Alligator mississippiensis: one gene and its partners. The protein of the gene in region 1 purifies or fractionates together with the protein of each later gene. This does not show direct contact. Links are inferred from orthologs where the notes say so. Each region holds a gene or a part of one and is shown in the gene's direction. Other genes may lie near its edges.

The links.
Region 2: the proteins of CCNB1 (region 1) and PKMYT1 purify together in Homo sapiens (affinity purification with mass spectrometry; 5 studies listed by BioGRID and IntAct, with this or other methods). This does not show direct contact. The link is inferred for Alligator mississippiensis from reciprocal best matches to the Homo sapiens genes CCNB1 and PKMYT1.
Region 3: the proteins of CCNB1 (region 1) and CDC27 purify together in Homo sapiens (affinity purification with western blotting; 6 studies listed by BioGRID, with this or other methods). This does not show direct contact. The link is inferred for Alligator mississippiensis from reciprocal best matches to the Homo sapiens genes CCNB1 and CDC27.
Region 4: the proteins of CCNB1 (region 1) and PTCH1 purify together in Homo sapiens (affinity purification with western blotting; 3 studies listed by BioGRID and IntAct, with this or other methods). This does not show direct contact. The link is inferred for Alligator mississippiensis from reciprocal best matches to the Homo sapiens genes CCNB1 and PTCH1.

What each region holds. Positions count from the first base shown.
Region 1 is NC_081826.1:258,265,863-258,272,770, reverse strand, and holds the start of CCNB1 (G2/mitotic-specific cyclin-B1), read left to right. Parts: upstream 1-3,865; 5' UTR 3,866-3,953; coding exon 3,954-3,974; intron 3,975-4,068; coding exon 4,069-4,245; intron 4,246-4,400; coding exon 4,401-4,535; intron 4,536-6,029; coding exon 6,030-6,203; intron 6,204-6,908. UniProt on the Homo sapiens protein: Essential for the control of the cell cycle at the G2/M (mitosis) transition.
Region 2 is NC_081830.1:724,566-732,342, forward strand, and holds the start of PKMYT1 (membrane-associated tyrosine- and threonine-specific cdc2-inhibitory kinase), read left to right. Parts: upstream 1-4,717; 5' UTR 4,718-4,822; intron 4,823-4,857; exon of another isoform or gene 4,858-5,091; 5' UTR 5,092-5,101; coding exon 5,102-5,470; intron 5,471-5,576; coding exon 5,577-6,070; intron 6,071-6,263; coding exon 6,264-6,370; intron 6,371-6,714; coding exon 6,715-6,887; intron 6,888-6,971; coding exon 6,972-7,195; intron 7,196-7,722; coding exon 7,723-7,777. Other genes in the region: GREP1 (glycine-rich extracellular protein 1), read left to right, coding at 10-78, 250-315, 431-499, 968-1,015, 1,172-1,234, 1,649-1,729, 1,821-1,913, 2,468-2,493. UniProt on the Homo sapiens protein: Acts as a negative regulator of entry into mitosis (G2 to M transition) by phosphorylation of the CDK1 kinase specifically when CDK1 is complexed to cyclins. Mediates phosphorylation of CDK1 predominantly on 'Thr-14'. Also involved in Golgi fragmentation.
Region 3 is NC_081827.1:158,871,626-158,878,504, forward strand, and holds the start of CDC27 (cell division cycle protein 27 homolog), read left to right. Parts: upstream 1-3,874; 5' UTR 3,875-4,028; coding exon 4,029-4,055; intron 4,056-6,879. UniProt on the Homo sapiens protein: Component of the anaphase promoting complex/cyclosome (APC/C), a cell cycle-regulated E3 ubiquitin ligase that controls progression through mitosis and the G1 phase of the cell cycle.
Region 4 is NC_081826.1:206,077,298-206,084,707, reverse strand, and holds the start of PTCH1 (protein patched homolog 1), read left to right. Parts: upstream 1-4,353; 5' UTR 4,354-4,725; coding exon 4,726-4,932; intron 4,933-6,671; coding exon 6,672-6,864; intron 6,865-7,410.

The sequences.
Region 1 (6,908 bases):
CAGTGGATCCAAATCAAAACTTTACTGTCCTTGGATGAAGTTATTTTTAATGGAAAGTTGAACTCTCCTATGTAAAGCAGACATTAGTGAAAAGGTTCACTGTCTTGAAAGCCATTTTTCCATTGAAAACTGATTGATAAGAAGTCTTCTGTTAACGCCTTATTTAATATATCACATTAGCCTAACTTAACAGCATGACCTTGCACTTAGAAACGGCAGTCAATTCCCATACAGATGCAGTAACAGCCTACACACACAATGGCACTGTACAAAATCAAAAAAGATGCAAAGCTTTGCAGGGATATAACCTATGGTTTGTAGCACCACAGCTCATTGCATCACCCTCTACTCACTTCCATGGGGCATTGTGAAACAATTTGTCTCTTCTCTGAGAATGGTGAACAGAAATGATCTAGGACCAACTTCTTTTCCCTGGTGCCTCCTTGTGCTCTGAAGCGTGGTAATCTGCAACTGCAATTGACAGATACTTTATATGTGGCAGCAGTGACCAAGAGACAGCAATAGTACAGATGTGAGTATTTAGGAGCTGGCTTTTTCTGGCCAGGAACAGGAAAAAAAACAGTCAGCACTGCATGAACTTAGCTAAAGCCATCTTTTATGGCTGATCCTCCTACCCTGCAAAAAATTCAGACCAAGACTATGATCACTGAATGATGGGGATACAGTATGATAAAACAAAGCTGCAGACTCAGAACATTTATAAAAGGAGAACAACAACACCTGCGTAAGCTTTGCTCCATCTTTGAGTACTAAAACATCCAAAGGGGCAACAACAGGCCCAAAGTGTACTGCTATCACCCTGTAAAAGTTGGTACTCCCCCAGGTTGTTACAGGTGTACTGATAAACAGTTCAGGGTTGGCATAGCACTGTCACTCCAGACCCCCATCTGTGATCAAACAAAGGCAAAACATCTGGGCAATCCAGCTGCAATCAACTTCCACAGTCAAAAGATGTGCAATGAAAAGCATAGGGGCACAAACATTTAACAACACCAAACACTGCAGAGTGCAAGACACTGATGCAGTGGCACGTGTTATGGAACTGCACATCAGCATGGAATCTGTCCCCTTTCTTGCACACTGAACTGGGGCTTGTGTGCAAGATAGGCATGGGTGGATAAGTGGTTTGGGCTCACCAGGTGGCTCATGATCCTGCTTCTCTCAAAAGCCATGTCTTGACCCCTCAGCTATGACCATGGCAAAGAAACTGGGATAAAGCATCCACACCTGAGGACAGGAGGGTGATCCAGGCAGATCTTGACAGGCTCATGAAATGGACAGATGAGAACCTGATGGTGTTTAATACTGAAAAATGCAAGGTTCTCCACCTTAGGAGGAAAAACCTGCAGCATGCTTATAGGCTCAGCAGTGCTACGCTGGTTAGCACTACAGATGAAAGGGACTTGGGGGTCATCATTGACCACAAGATAAACATGAGCCTTCAATGTGATGCTGCGGCTAGTAAAGCAAGCAAAACACTGGCTTGCATCCATAGATGTTTCTTAAGCAAACCCCGGGACATCATTCTCCCATTGTACTCGGCCTTGGTAAGGCCACAGCTGGAATACTCCATCCAGTTTTGGGCTTCACAACTTAAAAAGGATGTGGAGAAGCTTGAGGGAGTGCAGAGGAGAGCCATGCACATGATCAGAGGTCACGAAAACAGACCTTATGATGAGAGGCTGAGCCATGGGGCTCTTCAGCCTGGAAAAGCGCAGGTTCAGGGGTGATCTGTGGCCGCCTATAAATCTATCAGGGGTGCTCATCAGGATCTGGGGGAAAGTCTGTTTGCCAGAGTGCCCCAAGGGATGACAAGATCGAATGGTCACAAACTCGCTGTGACCAATGCAGGCTGGACATAAGGAAGAACTTCTTTACTTCTCTACTGCCAGAGGCGGTTCAAGCACCTACTTTGAATGCCTTCAAGACACATTTGGATGCTTATCTTGCTGGGATCCTATGATCCCTACTGACTACCTGCCCCTGGGACAGGGGGCTGGACTCAGTGATCCTCCAGGGTCCTTCCCAGCCCGAATGTCTATGAAATCTATGAAATTCTGCTCTCACCTCTTTTCCTCCCATGTTCACTTTCCATGTAACCCAGATCCCTCCTTCTTCATTTTTCAGCCATCCCTGGATCCTCCCACCAGTATCTGAGCTCTTGCTGTTGCTCTGACCACCTGGAATTATCCTATGCATCTCCACAAATAAGTCACAGACTTTGGCTTTCAGACAGCAGTCATCTTGGTGTCCTCCCTTCACTCACAGAGACTGAAACTGGCTCAGAAGTTCCTAACAAATTAAAAACAAATGTTTATGAATGTCCTTGGGTCCCAACATGGTTTGATATCCCATGGATGCAGCTGGAAATAAAAACAAAATACAACTGATTTCCCACATCATTCCTCTTGTACAAGCTAGAGCCTGCCAATTTCCAAGCTTGGTCAGAGCTTAGAAGGGTGAGTTACCAAAATGTTCTCACCAATCATCATCTGTGTGATATTATGAAAGAACTGGAGCCTGTGGAAGCTGCTAATCAACTAAAAGATCCAGGCAGCAGTTAATGTGGAAGCAATGCTTTTAAAAACCACCTACTACATGCTCCCACTTTGGTATTTCATGCTCTCTTGGGAAGTACAGACTGAGCTGCAGTGTAATTTTCTAATAGTCAACCTGTGTTACCCCAAAACCTTGGATCAGGGAACCAGTGGGTTGTTGAGAGAAAGAATGCTCGAGAGATGGGAGTTTCCACTCCATTTAATGTAGGTTTAACAGATAACACACAATTTTATACTATGAAATGTACTAGTTATCCTACTCCTATGATGTTCAGATAGTCCAGAGTCTTGTTGGACTATTCAGAGGCACTGGCTACCATAGCGTTTCCCAACCTTTTCCAGCCCAAGACACACATTAACATTTTTTTTCTGTGGCACACCTGTTAAGGCATTCTGTCCCCATACTCATGAGCTCGTTGCCACGGCAAAACTCCGTGGCACAGCTGTTCAGAGGCTCTCGAACTGCGCATCCCCTACAGCCAACACGTGCAGATGAATTTCCTTCTGCTTGGCCGGTTCTCTCTCCTCCCCGCCCCCCCAGTCAACACATGCACCAGTCTTCTGTGAATAGTTGGTTGATCTGGCTTGTTGATGCAGCTGGTTCGTTAGCACTAGGAGGCTACAGAATTTTCTTCTCATTATTCCCAAATTCATGTGGCACACCAGTTGAAAAGCTCAGGCCTAGCAATCCAACCCTTTGCTCCCAAAGAACCCTTTGTTCTTTGTACCTTTTGTCTCTTTCTTATTCAGTATTTGTACTATTGCTACTGGCTGTTTACAGACTATGTCATCCAATAGTGAGAAACTGATATTTCCCTAAAACCTGATCTGCATAAACACACCTGTACCTACATGCCTTACTTAGCATCCTGTCTTTCTGCACATCCTCCCCCCACAATCATCCAGATGTTTTGACAAAATCGTCTTGCTCAGCTCGACCTAGCAGGTGACCTGCTAGCCATCTCGGTAGCTATGCAACCCCTGGCAGGAGCAAACACTGGCAGCTTTATAGGGCCATCAGGCCCAAGCAGACGAGCGGACACCGGCTCAGACGGCCACGGGACGCACCAGACTACAGGAACACGGCCCTGCTGGGCACAGTCAGCCACACCCCGCCAAGCACCAGGCCCAGGCCACCCCTCCCTCCCCGCCCCCGCGTCCCGTGGTACCAACAGCCCGCCCCACTCCCTTGCCCCGCCCCATTTTCGAACTTCTGGAAGAATCAGCGCTCGGTTTCTGCGGCAACGCATTGGGGGTGGAACGTCGAGCTGCCAATGAGGAGGGAGGGGAGCAACCAATGAGCGGAGCCCAGTGCGAGTTTTAAACCTGCGGCCGCAGCAGGGGCTGGTGTTGGCGGCGGCGGCGTGCGGGGACATGGCGCTGCGGGTCACTAGGGTCGGTAGCGGGGCGGCGGGCTGGGGTCGGGGTCCCTTCCCCGGGGGCGTCCCGCGTGGCTTGCGGCTGCTCAGGGCGCCTCGTCTCTCCGCAGAACAACATGAGAGTCAGCGCCGAGAACAAGCCCAAGGCCAGTGGGGCGGCGACTACAGTGGCTGGCGCCAAGCTGGGGGGCGCCGCGGCCAAGCCCGGCCTGCGGCCCCGCAGGGCCTTGGGGGACATCGGCAACCGCGTGTGCGAGGAGCCGCAGCCTAAAGCTGCCCTCAAGAAGGTAATTTTGGAGGGGGGAATGCTGGACCTCGTGCATCCCTGGCCCAGCCAGCCTTGTGGGGGGGGTCTGCTCTGCAGATGGGGGTGGGGTGCCAGGTTTGCTTCAGGCTGTGTAGGGGGCTCCTCGGCTAACTACTTCCCTCTCCTGCTGGGTAGGAAGCTAAGCCCACGGCTGAGGACAAGCCTGCTGCCAGGAAACCTGCAAAAGCTGTGGAGGGCACTGCTGAGCCTCTGAAGGAAGAGGAGCAGGCCCAAGAGCCTGCCAAGGTACCTGTCTGTGCACCAGGGCAGGTATGGTATCAAGGAAACAAGGGGGGCTGCTGTGACCTGCTCGGTCTGCATCTCCCACCACCTTCCACCTCTGTTCCCCTTCCCCTAGGGAAGGAGCAAAGTGAATTCAGTGGCACATAATGCCAGTGTAATGGTGGCCTCTTCCAAAGTAGTACTCGTGGCCATTAGCGTGGGACCTGAGCACCTCCGTCTCTAGTCTTTCCTCTTGTGTTCTGAAGTAATGTAGCACCCTGCCTGCAGGTGAAATAGGGCATGGGCAGGCTAAGGTCTCCTTTCCTTAAAGAAGGAAATTGGGGGGGAGCTTTTTTTCCCAGGGCAAGGAGCTGAGTCTAAGGCTTTTTTTTCTGTCTTGCTTCTTCCTCTGTAGGCCCCTCTCTTCTTCCTCCCCCCCCCCCCCCCCCATTGGGTCCAACCTTTTCAGAGCTGACACTTCCATGGGGTGCCTAGAGTCCAAGTTAAAAACAAAGTGAAAATAGAAAAACTAATACAGCAATACTTGTGTTGCAGAGAACTTGGAACCCCCCCTTCCCCTAAAATCCAAAGTTTTTTGTTTCATGATGGATTCCTATTTGAAGTCCTGGCGTTTGCAATGAGGATTCACACAGTACACCTAATAGTACTGACTTTGCATGGTACCCCAGAAAGGATCTCAAGGTTCCCAGGGTGCTGTAGCACCCTAATTGAGAATCGCTGTCCTAGGGCCAGGCCACCTAAACAACTATTAATGTTCCCCTCCCAAAGTATTGGGCAAGCTGAAGCCCTAAGCTACTGCAAACAAGCACTCTCTCATTTCATGACCCTAGTCCATAGGGGAGCCCAGATGAAATGTCTGACCTCAGATAATTGAGGCTTTACTGAGTTGAAAGTGTTGTAATGTAGATCTCCTCTTCCTTCAGCAACTGTTTCAGTGTAGGAATGCATACACCAAATGCTGCTGTCAGTTCGGTGACTAACTAAAAGTTGCCCATAAACTTGGAGCACAGATCCTGGCTTCTGTCATGTACCTCCTACCAGGGAAACTATGGGGGGGAGGTGGGGACTCTGCCAGAGAGTGCTTCACTGAGCTAGTACTACTAGCTTGGGAATAGCCTGCTTGTTTTACTCTAGTTTAATTGCTGCTTGTTTGCCCTATTGTAAGATCCCAGATGCACAATGATATGCTGCCCTAGTTCTGTGTAACTAACTCCTAAATCAGTGTAGAAATATTTCTCCCAAGGAAAAATAAAGGGCCAGGTGGCAGGAAATACTGATGACCATCTTGTGTCTACAGCTGTTCTGGAAATAGTAGCTTGTCACTGTTAGTAAGGACCAAACAGCTGTTCTACATATCGCAAAATACTGGGATATCTAGTAACTGGTCTGCTCTGAATATTGGTGTCCCCTTAACTCCATCTGTTTGTACACTATCTGTCAAACTCTATTTTTAAAGGCCTGATCACCAAATGGCTGAAAAACATGGCCTTAATTAAATATATTTAACTCCTTTCTCTGTAGTTGGAGCCTCTATCCCCAACCCCAATGGAAACATCTGGATGCATGCCAGTGGAGGAAATACTGTGTCAAGCCTTTTCTGATGTGTTGCTTGATGTAGATGCAGATGATGGTTCTGACCCAAATCTCTGCAGTGAATATGTGAAGGATATCTACAAATACCTGAGAGTTCTTGAGGTTGGTATGGCTGCTGACTAGTTGGTTTGGTTGGTTTTGTTTTTTCTAGCACATCTCCCAGCACTCTGCTTCTACCCTGATCCCTTGTAAAGAACTACAAGGACTAGCTGACAGAGGAGTCTAGTCATAGATGTTCCTACAAGCTTGCTAACAGGACCAGAACATATGCCAAACCTTTAAATGACAAGTGCATGCATTCACTAGAACGGGGGTGGACAAAACATGGCCCACAAGCTAGATCCAGCCTGCTGGGACACTTCTGGCCCACAGGGCTTCTTGAAACTTAAACAGTTACTACCTGACAAGATGCTAGTGGCAGGAGGCACTGGGTGCAGCACCAAGCAGCTCAGACTCTGGTCGTGTTGTGACCAGCCCCAACCTGACTTGCCCCACTCTTCTATGCCATGCTCCTGCCTAGCAGAGGCTTCTGCCCTGATGACCCTGTGGCTATTCCCCAGTGTGCCCTCCATCTGATTAGGTGGAAATTCAGGTGAGAATAGGAAGGGAGGTGGACTGATGGTGATGGCCTCACTACATGGGGCTCATGGGACTTTGGATGGCTCTGTGCTTCCACATGCTGCTCCCAGCTGGAGTGCCAGGATCACCACGTAGAGGCACAGAGCTGGCCCAGCCTGATAGCACCAGACTTCACACAGTTTCTGGGACTCCAGTGTGCCACCAGGCTGGGCTGGCTCCATGCTGTGT
Region 2 (7,777 bases), on another chromosome or scaffold:
TTCCTCCAGGCTACGGAGGAGGTGGAGCAGGTGGCAACGGCTACCCAGGGCCAGGGCCGCAGCCGGGATATAGCAATGGTAAGGTTAAGGGCTTGGGGGGGGGGGGCGCTGTGGGGCAGGAGTGAGGTGGAATCCAGGTGTCCTGGGGGCTGTGGGTCGGCAGTGAGACGGGCCACGGGGCTGTGGGGTGGGGGGCAACAGATTGGGAACTGCCCTCCTATTAACTACCCCACCGCCCCCCACTTGCAGGTGCCCCGGGGCCTTTTGGGGGCCGGGTTGGAGGCCCTGGTGCAGAGCCGTCAGCTGCTAAATATGGTGAGTCCCTCAGCCTGGACTCCTGGGTCCCTGGGGGGGCGGGGGGCGGGCCTGAAGCAGGGGCAGGGCTTCCCTGATTATGACCCCGCCCCCTTTCCTTCCCCCCCACCCCCAGGTCTGGGGCAAGGACCCTACATGGTGGTGCCGGTGGGGCTGGGTGCGGACTTCAATGCGGGCAAGCTGGGTACGTGGGGGGGCACTGGGAGATGTGGGGGTAGGTACAGAAGGATGTTTTGGGGCACGGGAGGCTGCATTCGCTGAGCCCCCACATGCTCTGGATGCCTTGGTTCCTATCCCCGGTAGACAAGGCCTGCCTGGATACTCAGGTCCCTACCCCCTTCCCTCCCTTCCCCCCCTTCCCAGTGGGTGTGGCTTGCCTGGATGCCCCAGACCACAGGGAGAAGGCCTGGACACCTGGGTCCCTTGGGGGTATCCCTTGCTGTCATCACCCCCACCCCTGCCCCTGCCCCTGGGCCACCCGGATGCCTGGGTTCCCTCTCGGGGGACAAGGCTCCTTGGCCACCTGGGTCCCCATCTCCGCCCAGATGCCCAGGTTCCATGCCCAGTGGGTGGAGCCCCCAGGGAGCGGGGGAGCCCGGACACTTGGGTTCTATCCGCTGCCCCCCACCCCTCCCCCTTGTGTCCCCATCAGGTGGTTCAGGACAGGCAACGTTCAGGGCACAGCCTGCCGGGTTGGAGGGTAAGGGCTGGGGAGGGGCCACCCGGATGCCTGGGTCTCCTGCCCCCTGTGGGATGGGCAGGCACTTGAACATCAGTGGCTCCTGATTCCCCCCACCCTGCCCCGGGATGCCTGGGTCCCATATCCCCACTGATCCCTTCTCTCTCCCCACTGCAGCCAATGGCAACGGACTGGGATACCTGAATGGGGGAGATCTCCAGGCCAATGGAATGGCTCCAGGCAAGACCTGCCCTGGGTGCCCCCAGGGTGCTGGGAGATGGGAGCAGGGCCAGGAGGACTTGGCAATGGGGAAACCATAGAGATGGAGGAAAGAGAAACCAGAGTGGGCAAAGTGCCAACAGGGCTGGGCAGAGCTATGAAGCCCCCCGGTGGCGGAGGGTGGGGCTGCGCCCACCCCTGGAGCAGCCAGATCGACCTGGCCTCCTGCCCCATAGTGCCTTCCAGCCTGTGCTTCTGCTTCACACTGCCCTCCAGCCTGTGCTTGTGCCCCATAAAATGCCCCCCCACCTATGCTTCTGCCCCACACTGCCCTCCAGCCTGTGCTACTGGCCCTCAACCTTTGCTTTTGCCCCATAAAATGTCCCCCCATCCTGTGCTTCTGCCCCACAGCAACCCTCTCCCTTGCCCTTTCAGGTGCCTACGGACCCATCTCCGTGGGGCCGGCCCTTGGTGGGTATGGCCCGGTGCCTGCTGCCCTCGCCCCAGGGGCATATGGTAGGCGGGGGTGCTGTGTCCCTTGGTGGGTGTGGCTAGGGCCCGCTACTGCCACAGGAGACGGACGATTCTCCCCTCCCCACTTCCCCAGGGCAAGACGGGGGGGTGACGGGAGCTTTCCCTCTCATAGGTGGGAAGGAGTTCAAGTATGGCCTAAACGGCTTCCTGGGCAATGGCTACCGAGGTGAGGAGCAGGGCCCCCATCCTGTCGGACCCCAGACTAAGATTGGGGGGTGCTGGGTGCTGTATGGACCCCCCTAGACTCTATCACACTGGCCTCTGTGTGTCCCAGATGCCTGTGTGTGTGCGTGCGCGTGTGTGTGCACGTGTAGGTGTTTCCCAGATACCTGGGTCCACTTTGGATCCACATATCCCAGATGCCTGGGTTTTGAGTGTGTGTGTGTATGTGTGTGTGTGTGTAAGCATACATACACGTATTTATCCTGAATACCAGGGAGGGTGTGTTCCAGATGCCTGGGTCCTAAGGGTATGTGTATGTGTCCTGGACACCTAGGTCTTGCGTGTGTGTATGTGCATGTATATCTTGGATGCCTGGGTCCTGTGTGCGTGTCCCAGCTCCTGTGTGTGACTGTGCATATTTTTGTGTGTCCTAGATACCTAGGTTGTGTGTGTGTTTCTGTGTGTTCTGGATACCTACATCCTCTGTGCGTGTGTGTGTGTGTGTGTATGTAACCTTACCTCCTATCCAGCGCTGATCCCTGCTCTCTCTCCGCTCAGCCCGCTGCCCAGCTGGGAAGTGTTGAGTCCTGGGTGCCAGTTGTTTGCCGCAGGGGGACCCACCTTGCCACATCTGGTGCTACGTGTGGTGCTACGAGGGAAAGAAATTATCCCGCTATAACTTATCGTCTCGTTGGGATTTTTTAATGGATTCTTACATGTTAAAAACCTGCAATTTTGGGGGGTTTGTCATCCTAGGCTTGTCACCCCCCCCTCCGCCCTCTGGGGAAAAAGGGGTGTCCACAAGGGAGTAGGAAGTGTGTTGCGGGTACCTGTATCTGCCCCCTCTCTGCTGACAGCAGGAGGTGAGTGTGTCGGCAATAAAAAGCCCCTCAAAGAGCTTGTGTCTTGAAAGATTTGTTTCCAGATGTGCGGGGTAGGGGGGTGTCCTGGGCATCTGAGTTGTGTGTGAAAATGTGTGTGTGACACCTGGGTTCTGTGTGTATGTCCTGGACACCTAGGCTGTGTGGGTGAGAATGTGTGTGCGCATCAGACCGCTGGGGGGGTGCAGACGTCAGACACCTGAGAGGGGGGAATGTGTGTGTACATATTAGACACATGGTGGGGTGCGCATCAGACACTCGGGGGGGGGGTGTGCATCAGACACCTGGGTTGTGCGTGCATATATCAGACTCTTGCAGGGGGGGTGTTTGTGTCAGACACCTGGGTTGTGCGTGTGTGTGTGTCAGATGCCTGGGGGGGGGGGTGCCGGACACCTGGGTGCTGTGTGTGAATATGCGTGTCCCCCCTGGATACCTAGGTTGTATGTGTGAGAATGTGTATTTGTGTGCACTTGAGTTATGGGGGGGGTGGGGGTGGAAGACACCTGGTATCTGTGTATGTGTGTGTCCCGGACATCGGAGGGGGGGGGTGTCCAACAATTGGGTTCTGTATGTGTGTATATCTGAGACACCTGGGATGTATGTGTGTGTGTGTGCATTTGTGCGTGTCCCAGACATGGGGTGTATGTGCGTCCACACCTTGGTTGTGTATGCATATTTGTGTGTGTGTCTAGCAACTAGGTTGTGTGTGTGTATGTGTTCGTCCCAGACACCTGTATGTATATCCTAGACACTTGCATTCTGTGTGTGTGTGTGTGTGTGTGTGTTCCTTGGACACCTAGGGTCTGTGTGTCTGACACTTGGGTGTTGTGTGTGTGTCATGTGCCCAGACTGCTGGGTTGGGGGGGGGGGGATGGTTGAGCACTGCTGCCCCCTGCTGGAGGAGACTGAGGCAAGCGTGTTTGGTGTTCTACACGCTTGGGTTGTGCATATTGGGGGGGGGGTGTCCTGGACACCTGTGTGCATGTGTGTCCATCCAACAACAGGGTTGTGTGTGTGTGTGGGTGGGTGGGAAGGGCGGGTTGTTTCCAGACACCTGGGTTCTGTGTGTGTGTGTGTGTGTGTGTGTGTGTGTGTGCGCGCGCACATGTGCACATCATACACTATGGAGGCTCTCCTTCACACTTCGCGGTCCACCTCCCACTGCCCAGACCCCGCCCCGCCCCCCCGGGCTAAGATGGGCAGCCCCTCGCATCTGGACCCCACTGAATTACCCTGAGACCGAGATTGGGGCCGCGCCAGGCCCTGTACGTCCAGCGCTGTCTGCACCTCTCGGCGATGGGCAGTGTCCCTCGTGCCCCCCTCTGGGGGTGATGCATCGGGGGTGAACTCAGTTCAGGGCACCCTTGGGGGGGGCGGTGGAGGGGCTGGGGGTAACTCACGGCTGCCCCTTATATAAAGGGTGAAGGGGGCACCCCAAAAGCAAGGGTTGTGGGGCCCTGGCCCCTCCCTAGGGAGTAGAAGGGCTGCCTTCGGGGGCCTCACCCCTCGTTTTGGCGGGGTGAAGGGGGCATCCCTGGGGGGCTGACTTCATTGGGCGGCATTTCTGAGGGGATTTGGGGGTAAAGGGATGTGTCTGAGGGGATTTGGGGGGCATGTCTGAGGGGATTTGGCAGGGTAGAGGGGCATTTCCGAGGCGGGGGGGGGGGCGCTTTGGTTTGGCCACGCTTTGGTTGCCCCAGAGGATGCTGGGAACCCTCGCGGCCCCCTTCCATCCCTTTAAAGCGGGGAGTTGGCTCTGATTGACAGCCGCCCGGGCGAGCGGGGCGGGGCACGAGGCGCCCCCTGATTGGCTAATCCTGAGGCGCGCAGTCGGGGGGCGGTGCCGGGGGAGGCAGCCAGGTGGGGCGATGTGGGCGGTGCCTGGGCTCGGATTGGCTGAGGGGGCGCGGGCGGGGCGGCAGTTGGAGGCAAGGCGGGAAAGGACGGGGGAGCCCGCGCGCGGGAACGGGTGAGGGGGAGGGGGGCGTGCTGCCCTCCCGCGCGGGGGACCCGCCACATCCGGGCCCTGGAGGTGAGCCCCGCCCCGCCCCGCCCCGCCCCTGCCCCCCCAGCCCCTCATGCCACGGGGCTGCCTCTCTTCCTCTCCCGCCAGCGCCCTCCTGCTCATGCCAAGGAGTGCAGCCCCAGCCTGCCCCTCACCCCTAGTGCAGGGGCCCAGGCTCCCCAGTCACGTGGGCGCCCGGAGTAGGCCATGCGCCTGCTCGTGCGGAGGGGAGCAGGTGCGGGCGCGGGGCGCTAACCATGTTGCTAACCATGTCTCCTCTTTCTTGCCCCGGCCAGCGCTGACGCCATGCCGGTGCCCCCGGACGAGGCGGGCCCCGAGCCCCGGCTGAGCCGCACGCCCCTGCCCGTGCCGGCCTTCTTCCGCGAGGCCGAGGGCAGCTTCTCAGCCAAGAGGCCCCAGCGGGCGTCGGGCTACTCCCTCCCGTCCCGGCCGCGCCACAAAGTGCCCCCGACCGTGAGCCGCGTCTTCCCCGGCTGCCAGCCCCAGCCCTGGAGCCAGCCGCGGGCCCGCCTCGTGTGGTGCCGGGGGGCCCCCGGGCAGGCCGCGCCCCCCGCGGACCTGCTGTACGACCCCGCCAAGCGGGAGTCTTTCTTGCGCCAGTGCTTCCAGGTGCTGGGCCACCTAGGCCGCGGCTCCTTTGGCGAGGTCTACAAGGTAGGGGGGCGGGGGGAGGAGCGCTGGGGCGTGGCGGGACGTGTGGGCTGGCCGGGGCAGGAGCGCAGGGGTCCGGGTGCCCAGGCTGCCCCTCGCTTTCCCCCAGGTGCGGAGCCGAGCGGACGGGCGCTTGTACGCGGTGAAGCGGTCGGTGGAGCCCTTCCGGGGGGCGGCCGACCGGCACCGCAAACTGGCGGAGGCGCGGCGGCACGGGCGCGTGGGGCGCCACCCCAACTGCCTGGGCCTGGCGCGGGCCTGGGAGGAGCGGGGCCAGCTCTACCTGCAGACGGAGCTGTGCCCGGGCAGCCTGCTGCAGCACTGCGAGGCCCGCGGGCAGCCCCCGCCTGAGCGCCGCGTCCGCGCCTGGCTCTGGGACCTGCTGCGGGCGCTGCAGCACGTGCGTGTCTGTGGCCTGGTCCACTTGGACGTCAAGCCGGCCAACGTCTTCCTCACGGCCCGCGGCGTGTGCAAGCTGGGCGACTTTGGCCTGGCCCTCGAGCTGGGCCAGGCCGAGCCGGGCGAAGCGCAGGAGGGCGACCCTCGCTACATGGCGCCCGAGCTGCTGTGTGGGGATTACAGCCCTGCCGCCGACGTCTTCAGGTTAGGGCCCCGGCGTCCCGGTGCCCGACTTCCCCCTGCCCCCGCTCCCACCCCACCCTCTTCTGACTGACCAGGCACGCTCCCATTGGGTGTTGTGGGCTGCAGCCACCTGGGCGGGGCAGTTGCCTGGGGTGGGAGGGGTCAGTTGCCCATCTTGCCTCCCCCACTCGTGACTCTTGCCCCCTACCGCCAGCCTGGGCATGACCATCCTGGAGGTCGCCTGCAACCTGGAGCTGCCCACAGGGGGTGAGGCCTGGCAGCAGCTGCGGCAGGGATACTTGCCCCCTGAGTTCACAGCTGGTACGTCTGGGGAAGGGCCTGGATGCCGGGGCTCCACCCCAGCTCCGGGGGGACGGGGAGCAAGGGGAGCTGGAAGCCAGGATCCTGGGGTTCTCTGGGTAAGGGCTGGGGTCTGGGGAGGGTTGGAGTGGGTAAGTCTGGGAGCTGGGGATGCCTGTGTTTGTGGGGGGCAGAGGGGAGTATGGTGAGTTGGAGGTCCAGGTGGGTAGTGTGGCCTGGTGGGGAGAAGCAGGGGGTGCTGGGAGCCCGGATGCCTGGGTCCTCCCCTGGTCCAAGGGTGCCTGGGGCCGGGACACCGCAGAGGTCTTCCTTATCATCTCCTCTTCCCCCCCACCCCCACCCAGGCCTGTCACTGGAGCTGCAGGCCCTGTTGGCTGCCATGCTGGAGCCTGACCCCCGGCTCCGCCCTTCAGCGGAGACCCTTCTGGAGTCTGACCTCATGCGCTGCACAGGCCGCTGGCGCCGCCTCGCTCTGCTGGCTGAAGCTGGGCTGGAGTGGGGCGCTGTGCTGCTCCAGGTCAGTGCCCCCCTGCTTCTTGCCTCCTGTGCTCTTTGCCTCCTGCCCCACTTAATCTCCCCCCTTCTCCCTGCCCACCCACAGGGGCTGATGAGCTTGCTGTGGGGGGTCTGCCTGGCACTGTGCAGTCTCGCCCACTGGCGCCAGGGCCCCCCGACCACCCCGCCCCGCTCCCCGCTGCTCCCTGCCTACGGCAGCTTCTCCAGCGACTGGGAGGAGGACGAGGACGATGAAGGTGGGACGGGCAGCCTGGCCCTGGAGGTGTTCCAGTTGTCGGGGAGCTCCAGGGATAGCTCCCTCCAGGACAGGTGAGTGGTGGGGGGCCATGCCTGGGTCCCTACCTGCCCCCAGCCCCTTTCACTCTGCCTGGGAGCCTGGGCGCCTGGGTTCTCTGGGAAGAGAGTGGGAGGGAGCTGGGAGCGCACGTGCCTGGAGTCTTTGAGAGTTGAGTGGAGGCAACTGGGGAAGGGAGTTGGGGCTTGTGGGGGAACTGGGGGGGGGGATGGAAGCCCGGACACCTGGGTTCTTTGGGAGAGGAGCAGCATCTAGCGGGGTAGAGCAGTGGGACTGGATGCCTGAGTTCTCTGGCATGCGAGAGGGGGCTGGCAGATTGGAGCACCAGGGGCTGGAAGCCCAGGCACCTGGGTTCTTGGTGGGGTGGGGGGGGAGGAGTGGCACCTGCTGGGGTAGACCTGGAGGGGCTGAGAGCCTGGATGCCTGGGTTCTGTCCCAACTCTGGGAGGGGAGTGGGGTGCGATGGGGTAGAGCTGGGAGCCCGGACACCTGGGTCCTCCCCCCCGTCTCTGAAACCTCTCTGCTTCTCCCCTTCCTCTAGGGCCCCCAGTGCTCCCCGGCTCAGCTTGCCTCTCTCTCTGGGCAGCACCTCTACG
Region 3 (6,879 bases), on another chromosome or scaffold:
AAGCAGACCATCCCCAACTAGATCATTCCAGCCAGGGCTTTGTCAAGCTGGGCCTTAAAAACCTCCAAGGATGGAGAATTCCCCACCTCTCTCAGTAACCCATTCCAGTGCTTCACCACCCTTTGAGTGAGAAAGTTCTTTCTAATATCCAACCTAAACTTTCCTTGCTGCAGCTTGAGACCATTGCTCCTTGTTTTGTCACCTGCCAGCACTGAGAACAGTCTAGCTCCATCCTCTTTGGAACCATCCTTCAAGTAGCTGAAGGCTGCTATTAAATCCCCCCTCAGTCTTCTCTTCTCTAAACCAAATAAACCCAGTTCCCCCAGCCTCTCCTCATAAGTTATGTGCCCCAGCCCCCGAACCATTTTGTTGCCTTCCGCTGGACTCTCTCCAACTTGTCCACATCCTTTCTTCTCCTACCTGCATTTCCACCCCTCATAAATACCAGCTCTTTCAAGACTAGGGCAGCTCTAGCACCCTTCAGAACCAGGCCTTGAGTCTATCCAAATTTTACAGGATTTCTCAACTGGTTGGATGCGAAGGTCCTCTAGGTGGGACTTGGGTCGCGGCGGTGAACTCTTTTGCTTTTGCACGCTTCAATTGCCGCCCCCCACCCCCCGGCCTGCCATCAACTGGTGGGACCAGGATTTTTTTTACCTTATGTAGGTGGGAAAGGTTGAGAACCACTGCTCTAAATCACCTCATTATCCTACCAATATAGCAAGTCCCTCTAAACCTGGTTGATGAGTAGGCGTCCAGGCTTTGCCCATGTTACATAATCTTTAGGATGGAATGGGCTGTACCAAAATAGGCTCAATCTCACTAATGATATGGACAGCTGTCTTTCCCTGCAGCAGGAGCAGTGATTCTATAATGTTACCTTGGGCTCAAACTGGATGTACAACAGAAAACCAATTTTAATACATGGAGCCCTATTCAGAGGTTCTGGACTTAAGGATCCCAAAACTTTGGAGAATGAGCATTTGGTGTTGGGTATCCTCATAACCTTTTTCATAAGTCATGGAAGATGTGGTGTTCTTCAAAGACGTCACTGCCAGAATCAGGTTATTATCTGAGACTCTTAGCTCTCATTGACTCAGGTGAGTTTCTAGTCCTCAGGGTTACAACCCCCCCGAGAATTAGAATTTTAAATGCTTTAACCTTAGATAGTGAATACAAATTAACCCCATCATTTATTATTCTTAATAGCTGATGATTTTTTTAGCCTCTCTCATTCGTTTTGAATGCTTGAAGCTGACAATACAAGGACCCAGAAATTTAATAACAGTATCACTATTGATATGGGCAGATTTTATATGGATTTGATCTGATCTGGATGTGGATTTGATCTGAATGTGTTTGCTGGTAAGTGGCAAGCATTCCACTGTATTCATGTATTAATGTGTAATTGATAGGCTGAGAAACCATAGCCACACAGAAGCAGTGATGCTAATGGAGACAATTACAGAGGAGAGAAATTCCAAGTTGGACCTATTTTCCAGCTGGGCAGTCAGCACCCTGCGATTTTCCAATTGCTCAGTACTTCTCTTTGCAGCCTCAGTGATACCCTTAATACAGTTCTTTTTATGTACAAAGAAGTACAAATACAGAGACATTCCTGCTATGCCAGGACCCAGACTCCTCCATGCTTCAGCCGTTATAAGACAACTCAACAAAAAGCCAGGGACCCTGCAGAGTTCTCTCACCCTCCTCCCAAGTTTCTTTGCATCAGGAAACTCTTCTGTACCAGACAGACGTGAAGATCTAGTCCAGAGTAACTCCCCCTACCATGGTAGAACTGTCCCCACAGGGAGTTACTTTGGAGTGCCCAACTACAGGTTTCCGTCGCTTTATGCGAGTTCTGTATGTGCGAATTCGCTCTTATGCAATGACCCTTTTTATACCAAAAATTCATTATATGCGAGGTCAATTCACTCTTATGCAATTGGTGTGGTGGAAACCCAGAGTCAGTTGCTTTGTACAGGGCATTGTGGGAGTGACACACACCAAAATGTGGTCTCCTGTGTGGATCTGTACTCCTTGCTTGTTGTCTGCAACCTGTGTTTTTGTAGTTGCCGTCCCCATTATGACAGTGCCCAGTGCTTGTGTGTACTGTCTGCTGTTGGTGAGTACCAAAATCGTCTTGTAAAATTGGTGGAAATGGGGTCTGGGGTCAGTCCAGTCAAGGTCTTGGAACGTATCCCTATTTGTTACGTTGTAAAGCGGATTCCCTTTATGTGAATGTGAGTTATGCGGCCTTTTCCAGGAAGGTATGTACAGCATAAAGTGAGGGAAACCTGTAGTCTGTAAGGTGTAAATCTATCCTGCCTGCTGTCTGGACCGTGTGCTGGTCCATTTCCCTGAGTAGACGAAGTGGGGGGCAGGTTTTATAAGGTAGTTAGGCACTGAACTGCCACTGAAATCAAGGGGATGGAAGTTTCCTGCATTCCCCTAAGCCATTGATTCTCAAGCAGGGTGACATAGCACCCTGGAGTACCTTGAGATCGATCTACATGTGCACTTAACTGTGCAGCAGACTAATTTGCTGTGGTGTAAAGCATCACAGTCTACATGTGTGATGCTATTAGACTGCAGCAAATTATTTTTTGCCATTCTAAGATAGTATTGTCCAGGATGTGTGTAAACCCTGACTTGGACATAAATCGTGCCCAGTAAGCCCAGGTAGCAGGGGCCAGGCTGCTGCCTGCTGCCTAGCCATGCAGCTCTGCCCTTCGGGCACTCTTGTGCCCCAGCCAGCCCCTCGGCCACCTGACACCATGACCTGGAACCTGGGGTCAGAGGCGATGTGTAGGGAGGGCACAGGGGGACACGTGCCCCCCCCTCCCCCTGAGATTGGTTGCCACCAAAGCCGCCACCAGCTTCTGCAGGTAGTCACTGCCTCGCTGTTGACACGGTTGCCGGCAGCAGCAGGCAGTCCCTGCTCGTGTCTGCCGACAGCGCGGATGGTGGCTACTGGAGGTCCCTGCTCACCACCCTCCCCTGCGTCACCACCAAAACCGCTGTGGCCACCTGCAGGTGGTCCCTGCTTGGCATGCCCTTGCTGCCGCCATCACCACGGCCACCTGTAGGTGGTCCCCGCCTGCTGCCACCACATCCCCACCCCCACCGCCTGCGGGTGGTCACCGTGCCCCCTCAGCCTCATGCCCGGGGTTGACCCCCGAGCCTGCTGCCAGCCCAGGGCCAAGCACCCCTGGCACAGCCCAAACTGCTGCGGTCCTAGGCGCACATGTAGATGCTGTACCACGCAGCCGTTAACTCCGGAGGGAACTGCACCAGAGGTTAAGGCACCACATGAATTGCGGTTAGTTAGCACTGATGTTAGGTAAGGTGTGCAAACAGGAGTCATAAGATAAAGCTGGAGATTCAGCACAGGAATCCGCCGTGGTGGCGCTTCTTGGATCCTCGCAAGAGGCAAACTGCCCGGTGCTCTTTCCCTAGTCAAACAAGAGTGAAAAGGGAGAACCGGCGTTTCCCGGGGGTGTGCTTCAGCCTGCCCAGGCCAGCCTCGGGTCCGAAAGAGCAGAGACCAGCCGCCGCCCTCCGCGCTGGACCCGGCCTCGGCCCGCAGTCGCTGCACCAAGCAGGGCGGGCGCTGCCCGCGGCCCGCAGTGGCTCAGGCCGACCGCCAGGGGGCGCCGCCGCCGAGACTCCGGCGCAAGGAGAGGGCGGTGGCGGAGGCGGCGCTCGGGCAGCTCCGCGAGCTCGGCCAGCACTCGGCTATTTCCGCGGCTGCTCGGGGCCCCCCCTGTGCGGGCCCCCCCCTCGGGCTCGGGCCTCGGCTGCTTCCGCCCCCGCTCGGGCATTTCCGCTCCCCTTCGGCTCTTCCCGCCGCCGCTCGGGCGGACTCGGCGCCCGGCCTCCCTCCCTCCTCCCGGCGGCCTGCCCCGGTAACGGTCGCTGGGAGTTTAAATGAGCAGGGGCCGGGCCGGGCCCAGCCGCCGCCGGGACACGCGCCGAGGCTGAGGCGAAGCCGGGGCCGAGGCCGCGCCGGGCGCCGCGGGGGCAGGATGACGGTGCTGCAGGAACCCGTCCAGGTACCGCGCGCCCGGCTTCACCGCCGCGGCCTAGCGGGGCCCGGCCCTTCGCCGCCCGGGCCCGCCGCAGGGCTGCCCCCGCCCCGCCCCGCCCCGCCCCGGGGGGACTTGTTGATTCCTCCTTTTGTCTCCGTGGCCCGGTCCCCGCTGCGGGCACGGCCCAGCCTCGGGCCCCGCGGGCGCTGGGAGGCCCCAAGGCCCGGAGCAGGAAGTCGCTTCAAGTTTGATTTTTTTTATTCCTTTTTTGCCCCTCCGGCTCTGTCCAGCAGCTCTGCCGCAGGGCTTCCCCTCCCAAGCAGGGCGCTCCCAGAACACAGGACTTGTTCCTTCTTCCCCACTTCCCATGTCATCTCCCCCATCTTGCTTTAACCCTCCTCCAGGCCTGTCCCAGCTGCCTTCCTCCTTTCTTTCCCCACCTCTTCAGCTCCTGTTTTTGCAAAGAGCAGCCTGCAGCCGCAAGCAGAACAGAAACGAGCACGAGCTCACGCACTGGGCATGGGTGACTTCCTGTGGGAGATGACCTCTGCTCCACCGAGTTCACGTGCCCCGGGCGATGCCTGTGGCGATGGTGCTCTTGTGAACAGCGCGCTGGTATTCTCCACGCTATGGCTGTAGCTCTGAAAATGCTTCCAGCCACCTAGCCATCTTTGGCATCAGGTCTGTGGCTGTAGCTGTTGCAAAGCATGGCAGAGCCCACCTGACATGGGAGTCTGTGTGAAAAGGAAGCGAGCACTTGCTTCTGCAGTGAAAGGGTGCAAATAATATCTAACACAGCAACTCAAGTGGGATAAACCTTCACCACTCATCTGAATATGGCAGCATCCCTGGTTGCTGCTTCGGTTTACCCCAGTACTTCTCAGCCAGGTGCTGCTGCTGTGGCCGCCATCCTGGAAACGGAGGCAGCAGGTTGAATGCTCCCATGTACCCTGTTTCAGGAAGTGTGTGGTGGGGGACCCAGACTGGGAAGGGCCCAAGCAAGAAGGCAGGAGCTAGATGGAGGCTGATAAGAGAGCCTTAATGCAGCAGGAGTGCACGTTTGCCACAGCTCTGCATTCAGGGCAGTTTTATCTGACTGCCATAGTGCAGACAACACCTGCGTTGAGGGCCAGGTTGAAAACCACTGATCTAACACTTCCACAAATGCCTGTAAGCAGCATCTCTGTTATCCTAATTAGATTAGCTAGGTGAAAAACAGTTGCTGTGCTGAGATTTCCCTGGCAGAGATGTGGAGTATTTTATTTGAGCAGCATTAATGGGTTCTTGAAATACGCAGATACTTCTACGGTCTTCTCTTCCAGTTTCAGCCCCTTCCCAAATTGGATATGCTTTTGATCGGGCTCTGCTTTGTGATCACACACACCCATTTGGGTTCTGCATGCTTGATGTATCCAAAAAAAGAAAAAGAAACCCTTTATTTTTCCTTTAGGTCTGAAGAGACTGATATGTTTGCGCATTTATATGTTATGGTTCTATCTGCACTTATAATACATGACCATGATTTGTCACTATCTTGGTCCAACTGTGGTTGCAGCGGTGTAAACTGTATCTTGGCTCATTTTAAACATTGCATGATAAGGTCGTAACCATACTTGGGTTCTCTTTTTATGCTACAGATTTCACCATTGCTACCATCTCTATTCTCTTGGTAATGTCAACGAAATGTGTCAGCCTTGATCATCTGTAGTCATGGGGTGTTTCTGTGCCACGGTTATGAACCATTAAATGAAAAGGGCACTGGTGAAGTAATACTTGATACCAAAACAAATTCCATGCCTTCATCCAAAAAAACTGTCACCTTTAGAATTATCAACATGACAGTGCTTTGTAGAGATTATTATTTACATAGTGCTTAGTATGTTGGCATTTTAAAACTATGTAAGATGACTGTTACCTGCCCTGAAAAGTTTCTATTTCAACATTCAGATGTTGCTACTTTTGCAAGGGGTATAGGTGGCAGAGTCTAGTCTTAAATAGACAACATGGCATTTTATGCTCCTAAGGAAGTAATCTGAAACTTCTGAACCTTAAATACTAATGCCATATCCCGTATGTTAGCAAGTTACGTGTATGCATCTCTGAAGCCAAAGGTTTTCTGAAATAGTGCTTAAGTTTCCATGACACTTCAATTCCACTGCTTTGATCATTTTGAGAAGCTGATATGAATTGCCATTACCAGCTCTAATGATGCACAGGTTTGATAGCATTGTTTGATGTTATGGTTGAAAACATGATAAAAACAGCAATGTACAGTAATGGCTAGTAAAAGTTTGCTGTTCAGTAGGAATAAAATGGTGTGAATCCATTGTACAGACTTGAGTTCTAGGACAGGCTTAGTTTTCTAATGATCTTCCATAAAAGGTTATGGGAATTGCTCACCCCACCCAAACTCCCAGTTAGCCTATTTTAGGATTTTACCTAACTCTCTATATTAGGTGTTATATTTTGGTTTATTCCCAGTATAGAGGGAAAATGACAGATGATACAGATACAGAAGGTAGACTAGTTCTACTATTATTCTACATTGGAGTATATTTTGCTTTGTAAATGCCCCAACGCACCTGATTGCAGCAGCAATTCTAGTCTCTATGGCATAGGTGCTCTTTGTCTCCCTGGAGTACTGGTACAACCACAATGTTGAGATTGCTGTAGTGGAGAGATGCATTAGACTGGTTCTTTCAATGCCACTGTTCAGACACTGAAACAAATGAAACAGCTGTGTAATCCATGTTCCTGTTAATGTTTCTATCTTGCAGAAAAAAATCACTATAGTTATTTGTAACTCATATTTTGGTAGTCAGACACCAAGGTGGTATTTAATTTAGTT
Region 4 (7,410 bases), about 52 Mb from region 1:
TCTCCTGCCTTTGCCACAGTCTATAAAGCCCTATTGAGACATGTAGGCGTGATGTGTAAACCGGATTAGCAGTATGAAAGCAAGACACACAATGAGCCTGAATTGTTTTACTTCCTTTTCATTTCTCACGCCTATATCTCTAATAAATTTGTTGCTCCAGCAGTGGGTCAAAGGGATCGTGTCGCTCGGCTTTTTCTTTGTTTTTTTTTTTTTTTTTTTTGCTCCCCCCCTGCCAGACCCCATGGCAGAGATCAGGAAAATGAATGGTCTGCGCCTCCTGCCAAACGCGAGAGCCGAGGTGTATGGTTACAGAGCCCGGGTGCGGTCCAGAAGGGCTAAAAAGCTCTCCAGGGGGACTGTCCCCCCTCGGTGCACACTGCGGGGCTGAGGGCAGGCTGCCAGGGAAAGGATCCGGTTTGCAGGCGATGCTGGGGTGTGCGAGAGGATGACAAGGGCTGCTCCCGCTCGGATCCCCCGGCGGCTGCAGAGCCGGAGGAGGCTGCCCGGAGCGGGGGCGGCTGCAACGCCCTGCGCTGCCTGGCTGATGCTGGAGATCGCTCATTTGCTTCTTTGTGGCGCGCGGAGCAGTTCTCCATTAAAGGCGATCAGGGGTAATTAGCCGCATTATTTTGACAAGTTGGCTCGAGCAGCCTCCCTCGCCTGTTAGTCCCGAGGAGGGAGGGCGAGGGCGAGAGCGAGGGCAAGAGCCGAGCCGGGCTCCCTCTCCCCAGCCCTGAGCCCCCCGCAGCACCTGCCCAGACACACGGGCGAGATGCTCTGCCGGGAGGAGGACCGGGCGGGGGGTGGGGAGCAAGAACAGGGTTTATTTGGCGATTGCATTCAAAGGGCTGCAACAGCGGGGCAGGACATCCCCCCTCCCCCCCACAGGCCTTATTGGGCGGCACAGCTGGATGCCAAAAGGAGATCGGGGCGGGTGTGGGGGGCAAAACCACCCCCGGGCACAAAAATGACAGGCGAGTGAGCGCCCTCCAGGTCAGTTTTGTTCCTGCCGGGCAAACAAACAATCTGGAGGGCAGGTGTTTTCTTTCAATGTCCTTCCTTTATTCATGTAACCGGATGCTACAGGCAGAGCAGTGATGGGGGGTGGGGGGGAAGCCCCCTAACACGCTGCAAGAGTCGCCGTGAAGCCATCAGCAACCTCCCAGCCCCTACCCCTCGGGGCTGAACTCCTCTGCCGGGCATCTGTGCCGGGCGGACAAAGCCTTGGCTGGGGATGATCCAGCTGGGGATGGTCCTGCTCCGAGCAGGGGGTTGGACTAGATGTGACCTCTCGATGTCCCTTGCAAGGCTCCTGCTCCGGGATGCCAGGGGGGCATATAGGAAGGCGGGTCCTTGGTGCCAGGCACCCGGAGGGGCCAACTGGGCGGGCCCTGCCCACCCGGGGGGAGCGAGCCGGGCCGGGGGAAGGCAGAGCAGTGCCGGCGGGAGGTGCCACCTCGGAAGGCCTCCTGCAGGCGAGGAGCCGGGCGTGTTATCACCACTCCGATCTGTGGGATCCTTGAAGTTTAGGGTAAAGAAAGGAGAGGGGGAGAGCCCCGGGTGCGGAGCCGCGGTGACATGCGCAGGGCATGCATATTAAAGCCAACAATGCTTACAAATGTAAATAAGGGCAGATTGATTAGGAACAACATTATCGCTGGGAATGCAGCACTCGCATGCATCAGCAATGAGGCAAATTGGGGGCAGCCACCGCTCCTGACCACCCAAGTCGAGACAGACTTTTACTCTGACACTTCTTCCTCCTCCTCCTCCATTTTTTTTTAAAGCGCGGCAGAAACAAGGCCAATTAGATCCTCGCAGTAATTCATCTCTGGGGTATGAAAAAAAAACAGACCACAGGGGGAGAGGGAGAGATTAAGACACCGCTTGTTAAATCTGAGCCTCCCGATTACACTGGGGGCACCAACCGGCAGGATTTATAGGCGCCGGGACAGGGCGGGAAGGCCTACCGAGGCGAAGCTGCCAGGCAGGAGGCAGAGCCCGCGGGCTGGCGCCTCGGCCCCCGCGCAGGGGGGACAGGGTGGTACAGGGAGCACCAGGAAGCAGAGGGGAGATCATTGCCCCCCCACCCGCCGTGCTGGGACCCGCATGCAAGCCCCCTGCACGCCCGGTTGCTGCATGCATCCGCCCCCTGCAGAGCGCGCGACTCCGCAGAGGCCCCGCGGCGCGGGAGCCGCGCGCCCAGCCCGCTCCCTGGAGCAGGTTCTACCCCCCCACTCGGCCCGACCCGACCCCGCCACCACAGCTGTGCAGACTGAATGGGGACGGCTCCCCCCGCCTCGCCATTGGCCCGGAGCGCCCAGCCCGGAGCACCATTGGCGGGCGCGAGCCGCAGCGCCCGCCCCCTGGAATGTACTGCGGCTCGTCTGGCACGTCTCCCGGCCGCCAGAGGCCAACCGAGCAGCTGCCCCTCCCGGGCACCGTGTGGGCGCCTAGCGCGGGTTCGGGTCGTACCATCTCCACCCCCCTTTCAGAATCCGAACCCTCAGGGCCCGGCCGAACCCGCCGCGCACTTGAGGAGTCCGGCCCAGGCGCCCGTGTGTCACGTGACGCCGCTGGGCCCCGCCCCCCGCGCGTTCTTTTTTTTTTTCAATGAACACACACCGCGCGCCCCTTAAAGGGACACGGCCCCGAGTGGGACCTGCCCCCCTCATCCCAGTGGTACAGGCTGGGGGGTGGGGTGCAGAAGCACGAGGGGGAGTCCCTGAAATGCATGCAGATGGGGGGGGCAATGCGGTGCAAAAGCCACCTCCGGGGTGACAGCGCCTCCTGCAACCTGTACAGAGGCACAGCCCCCCCTTGCACCCCTAAAAGCGTTTCCGATGGGGAGCATCTCCCTACACGGGCATCTCCTTCCCCCCTCCCCAAAATCAATGCATTGATTTTTAAGTATCTATTTAAAAGCAACTCATTGATTTTTGGGGTGCCAACAAATAAAAATAGCCCCGAAACAAGCTGGCGATTCACGCGGAGCGTGAAAAGCCTCTGGGGACTGAACTTGACATTGAAAAAAAATTGTGGCGGGGGGGGGGGGGGCGAGGTATTAAGCGGACTTTGCTGCAGAGTGAGGCTCGGGACCCCCACGCTCAGTTAAACCGCGCGGGCTCCTTGCCCGGCTTTACATCCCTTCTTCTGGGTGTTAAATTTCCATGGTGTGTTGTTATCATCATTACCATCATCATCATTATTATTATTAATTATTATTTGCCCCCACCCTCACTGGTCCTTTCTTGCAAGGATCTGTCTCCTCTTTAGTTAAAAGGAGAAAAGAGAGAGGGAGGGAGGGAGAGAGAGAGAGAGAGGAAAAAAAAAAATTGGCACTTTCCCTCGCAGTATCCACCACCCTGTCATTATTTGTGCAAGCCTGGGAATTCAGCTCGGACCTCCCAGTATTTGTTGCAGCTTGAGGCCAAGGTGCCTCTAAAAGGATTTTCTTTTAAAGGCTTTAGAAATCGTTCCGTGGGTTTCTTTTTCTTCTTTTTTTTTAAAAAAAAAGCAAAATATATTTTTGAAGGTGGATGTGCAGTAAAGGCTTGCGCGCGTGTTTGTCTAAAAGCATCTCGTAAAAAAAAAAAGAAAAAAAAAGAAAAAGAAGAAACCGTTGTTGAAAAGAAAATGAAGAAGAAAAGGTGGGGAGGGGGTGCGGGGGGAGAGGCATTCCTTAATGGAAGTATTGCATGCAAAGAAGGCTGGATCTCTTTAAGGCTCCCCCTGAAGCTGGAGATGCACACACAAGGGTTGCCTGCCTGGGTGGTCTCTCTACTTTGGTGAGCTGTTGCTAAGCAGCTAATAATAGTCATGTTTGCTGAGTAATTTCTGCCCTCCCTGAGCCAATCGCGTCCCAGAAAGCCCAGCCATCTGACAGCCCCAGGGGCGGGATTTGAGGGCTTTTTTTTTTTTCTCCTTCTTTCCCCTCTCTCTCCTCTCCCCCCCCTTCACCCCTCCTCCTCTTTATCCAAATGGAGAGAGTTCTTTTTTTCTTCTTCATCTCATCTATTGAATCAAGGAGCTGCTGCTTGCTGCTGCACACACACGGAGGGAGAGAGAGACACACACACACGTCCAGAGGGAGAGGGGCACCGCGGAGCCGCCCGCCCTGGGACTCAGAGACAGCTCTGCCCTGAGCCAGACTGGGACCGCGCGGCCAGAGGCAGCGGCGGCAGCGGCAGCACCTCCACGGGGAGCACGGAGGAGCCCCAGCCCGGCTTGGCTTTGCTTTTCCACGGAGCAAGACCGAGGCGGCGGGGAGGGAGGGAGGGAGGGAGGGAGGGGAAAGGGGCAGGAGAGGGGGGGAGCCCGGTTTCTTTGCAGCTGCGAGAAGCCAAGTGGAAGCGGGAGGATTAAACCCCCAGATCCCGGGCCGGGGGGGAAGCCGCCGCACTCACCCGCGCCCCGCTCGCACACACGCTGGATGCGGGAAGCGGAGCCCCCCGGATCCTCGCGAAATGTTGCAATGGAAGGCGCAGGGTCTGCCTCGCCGGGAGCCGCCGCCGCCGCCGCAGCCCGCGCGGTGTGAAGAGGTGGCTTGTCAGCAGCAGCAGCAGCAGCCGGAGAGAAGCGCCGCCAGCTCAGCCAGCCCCCGGTGCCCCCGCATCGCCCCAGCGCGGCCGCCGCGCGCCGCGGGGAAGCCCAGGCGAGCCAGCCCGCGGGTCGCCCAAACAACAACAGCCGCCGCAGCAGCAGCCCCGTCCCGGCGGCGGCAACATGGCCTCGGCTGGTAACATTTCGGAGCCGGAGAGCAGCGGCGGCGGGGCTGGCGGTGGCTGTAGGGACCCCGAGGGGCCGGAGGGGAGCGGCAGCAGAAGGCGGAGGAGGACCGGGGGGACCAGACGCGCTGCGGCGCCCGAGCTGGACTGTCTGCAGCGGCCGAGCTACTGCGATGCAGCTTTCGCCTTGGAGCAGATCTCAAAGGTGCATGAGCCTCTGGCTGTGCGTGCGTGTGCGCGCGCCTCTGGGTGTCTGTGTGTGCGTGTCTTTCCAGCGATCTTTTTTTTTTTTTTAAAGGGGGGTGTCTATTTTTTTTTTTTTTTTTTTGCATGGAAGGAGGAGATGGGAATGAAAGAGCCACCAATAAAATGCTGGGAGAAAGAGGGGGACGTCTGTGAGTCCGTGCGGAAGAGCCTGCCCTCCTCGCCGTCCTCCTTGCCCCCGGGGGGGTGGGGTGCTCCCCGGCTGCTCTCGTGCAACGCTGCCCGGGACCCTCTGCCGCCTGCCCTCCTCTTTTGTGGGTCGCCCTCTTCTCGGTTCGGGTGCCCGGCTGCTCCCCATCCCTGCGGAGCGCTGTGCCGCTGCCTGGCAGCCCCGGCTTCCGACGGGAAATGGGGATCGGGAAAAGATCGAGGGTTTTTTTTCCGGGGGGGGGGCAAAGAAAAGACGGGGGTTTCCTTCGGTCACGTTTTCCAGTCCGCGGGGGCATCGCGGCTCTCGGAAGGGAGCAGGCTTGGAGGAGAGGAAGTTTTGTCCTGTTGAAACCCCCGGCGCTTGGAGGAGAAGTGAAAGTTGTAAACAAATTGCCACCTTAAATCTGCCTTGCAGGTCAGGTCCCCCCATCCCCTTTCTCCCCCCTTTCTATGATCCCGGATCCTCGCTTTTATTGTTAATATCGAAAGGCTCCAAACGCAGGGACTGACTCTGAAACAACAACCCCCTCGTCCCCAAATAGTCCCGATCGCTCCCTTTTGCAAGGCAAAAAGGTTCCTAGCAAACCCCAGCGAGGAGGCATCGCCTTTCTTCGGAGATCGGTTCATTTCAGGCAGCAGATTTCTTTAATTTTATTTTGGGGGGGAAGGCTTTGCAAGAAGTGGAAAGGCAAAAAAAAAAAAAAAAATCCATGTGGCTGCCCTCTTCCGTTCACAAATATTGTCGTAACTTACAGATGGCTGCTCTGCTTCACCATTCCGATCACACAGCGTCTCCAAACTCTATGGAAATGAATGACTATTAAGCTTATGATCACGCAGCATTGCTCACCACGTGGGTCGGTCATTTACTACACACACAGTCGGGGCCGGGAGCTGGGGAGGGGGGAATCGGCAGCAAATTGGTACAATGCAGCTTTCCCCCCACCCCCTTTACCGATGTAACAAGAACAGGAAAGGGGGATTTGATTTGATTTTTTTTTTCTTGGCATGTTGAGATTCATCTGCTTTGATTCTTGCTTCCCCTGTGCTGGCAATCTTGCCAGCATGAATGAATTTTTGATTACAGAGCTGCACTGATTTGTATTGCTGAACTGATGGCAGTGACTTGCTTGCAGCAAGGCTGGGATGGGCTGGATGGGAGGGCAGGCAGAGGCTGTCTCATTTATCCGGATCTCCTGCAGTGATGTCACCCAAAACCTGGGTATTGATTTATGAATAGGAGACTCAGCCGTCTACATGCACGTCTTAGTCCACACCACTGTGTCCGGTGCCTGGAGGGCTGCTCCACAGAGACATGGGCTGCAGTCCAAGGTGTCTTGTCCAGGGTTCAGGTTGTCCTCTTCATGTCCCCGCTCATGGATGCTCTGAGGCTCCTGGCACTCCTGCGTGAAGATGTGATGATGCTTGGAGGCTGCTAAGAAGGAGGAAAAAAGCATGCCCACGCTGTGCGTGTGGGTGTCTATCTGTCTGTCCCAGGCTCTCAATGGCTGCCCTTTTCTTGCCTTGCAGGGGAAGGCGACTGGAAGAAAAGCACCGCTGTGGCTAAGAGCGAAGTTTCAAAGACTATTATTCAAACTGGGCTGTTACATTCAAAAAAACTGCGGCAAGTTTTTGGTTGTCGGCCTCCTCATCTTTGGGGCTTTCGCTGTAGGATTAAGGGCAGCTAATCTCGAGACCAACGTGGAGGAGCTCTGGGTGGAAGGTAAGACTTGGTCCCTGCTCTTGGGAGCCCTTTCTCTTTCCTCTGCCCTCCTTAGGGCACCTCAGGGGATCCAGAAGAGATCCTTGCTGGGATCTTCTGGAGCTCACTACTCCCCCCTCCCCCCCGGCCCCCCATGAAGGTCAAGGCAGCAATTTGTGGCCAGCCTGTCACCCAGGCCACAAGTGTTGGCTAGAGCAGCGTTTCTCAACCTGTGGGTCAAGACCCAAAAGCGGGTCGCAACAATATATGAAAGGGTTGCAAACACACTTGAAAAATGCATCAAAAATAGGTTCTTCTTTAAAAAAAAGTGGGAAACCGTGGCTTTTTCCCTGGAAGGCTGGCAGAGTTGCAGCCTGCAAAGGGGCTGCTTGGGGACACACTGTGAGGCTGGGACCTGGGGGCTCGGGTCGCCATCATAGAGGACAGTCCAGTTGTCCTCTTGGTATAAAACTGGACACCTTTATGTCCTCAGAAGAGAAAAATAGAGGACATAAAGGTGCTGGGTTTCATATCAATAGAGGACAGAGCAGCAGAAAACGGGGATGC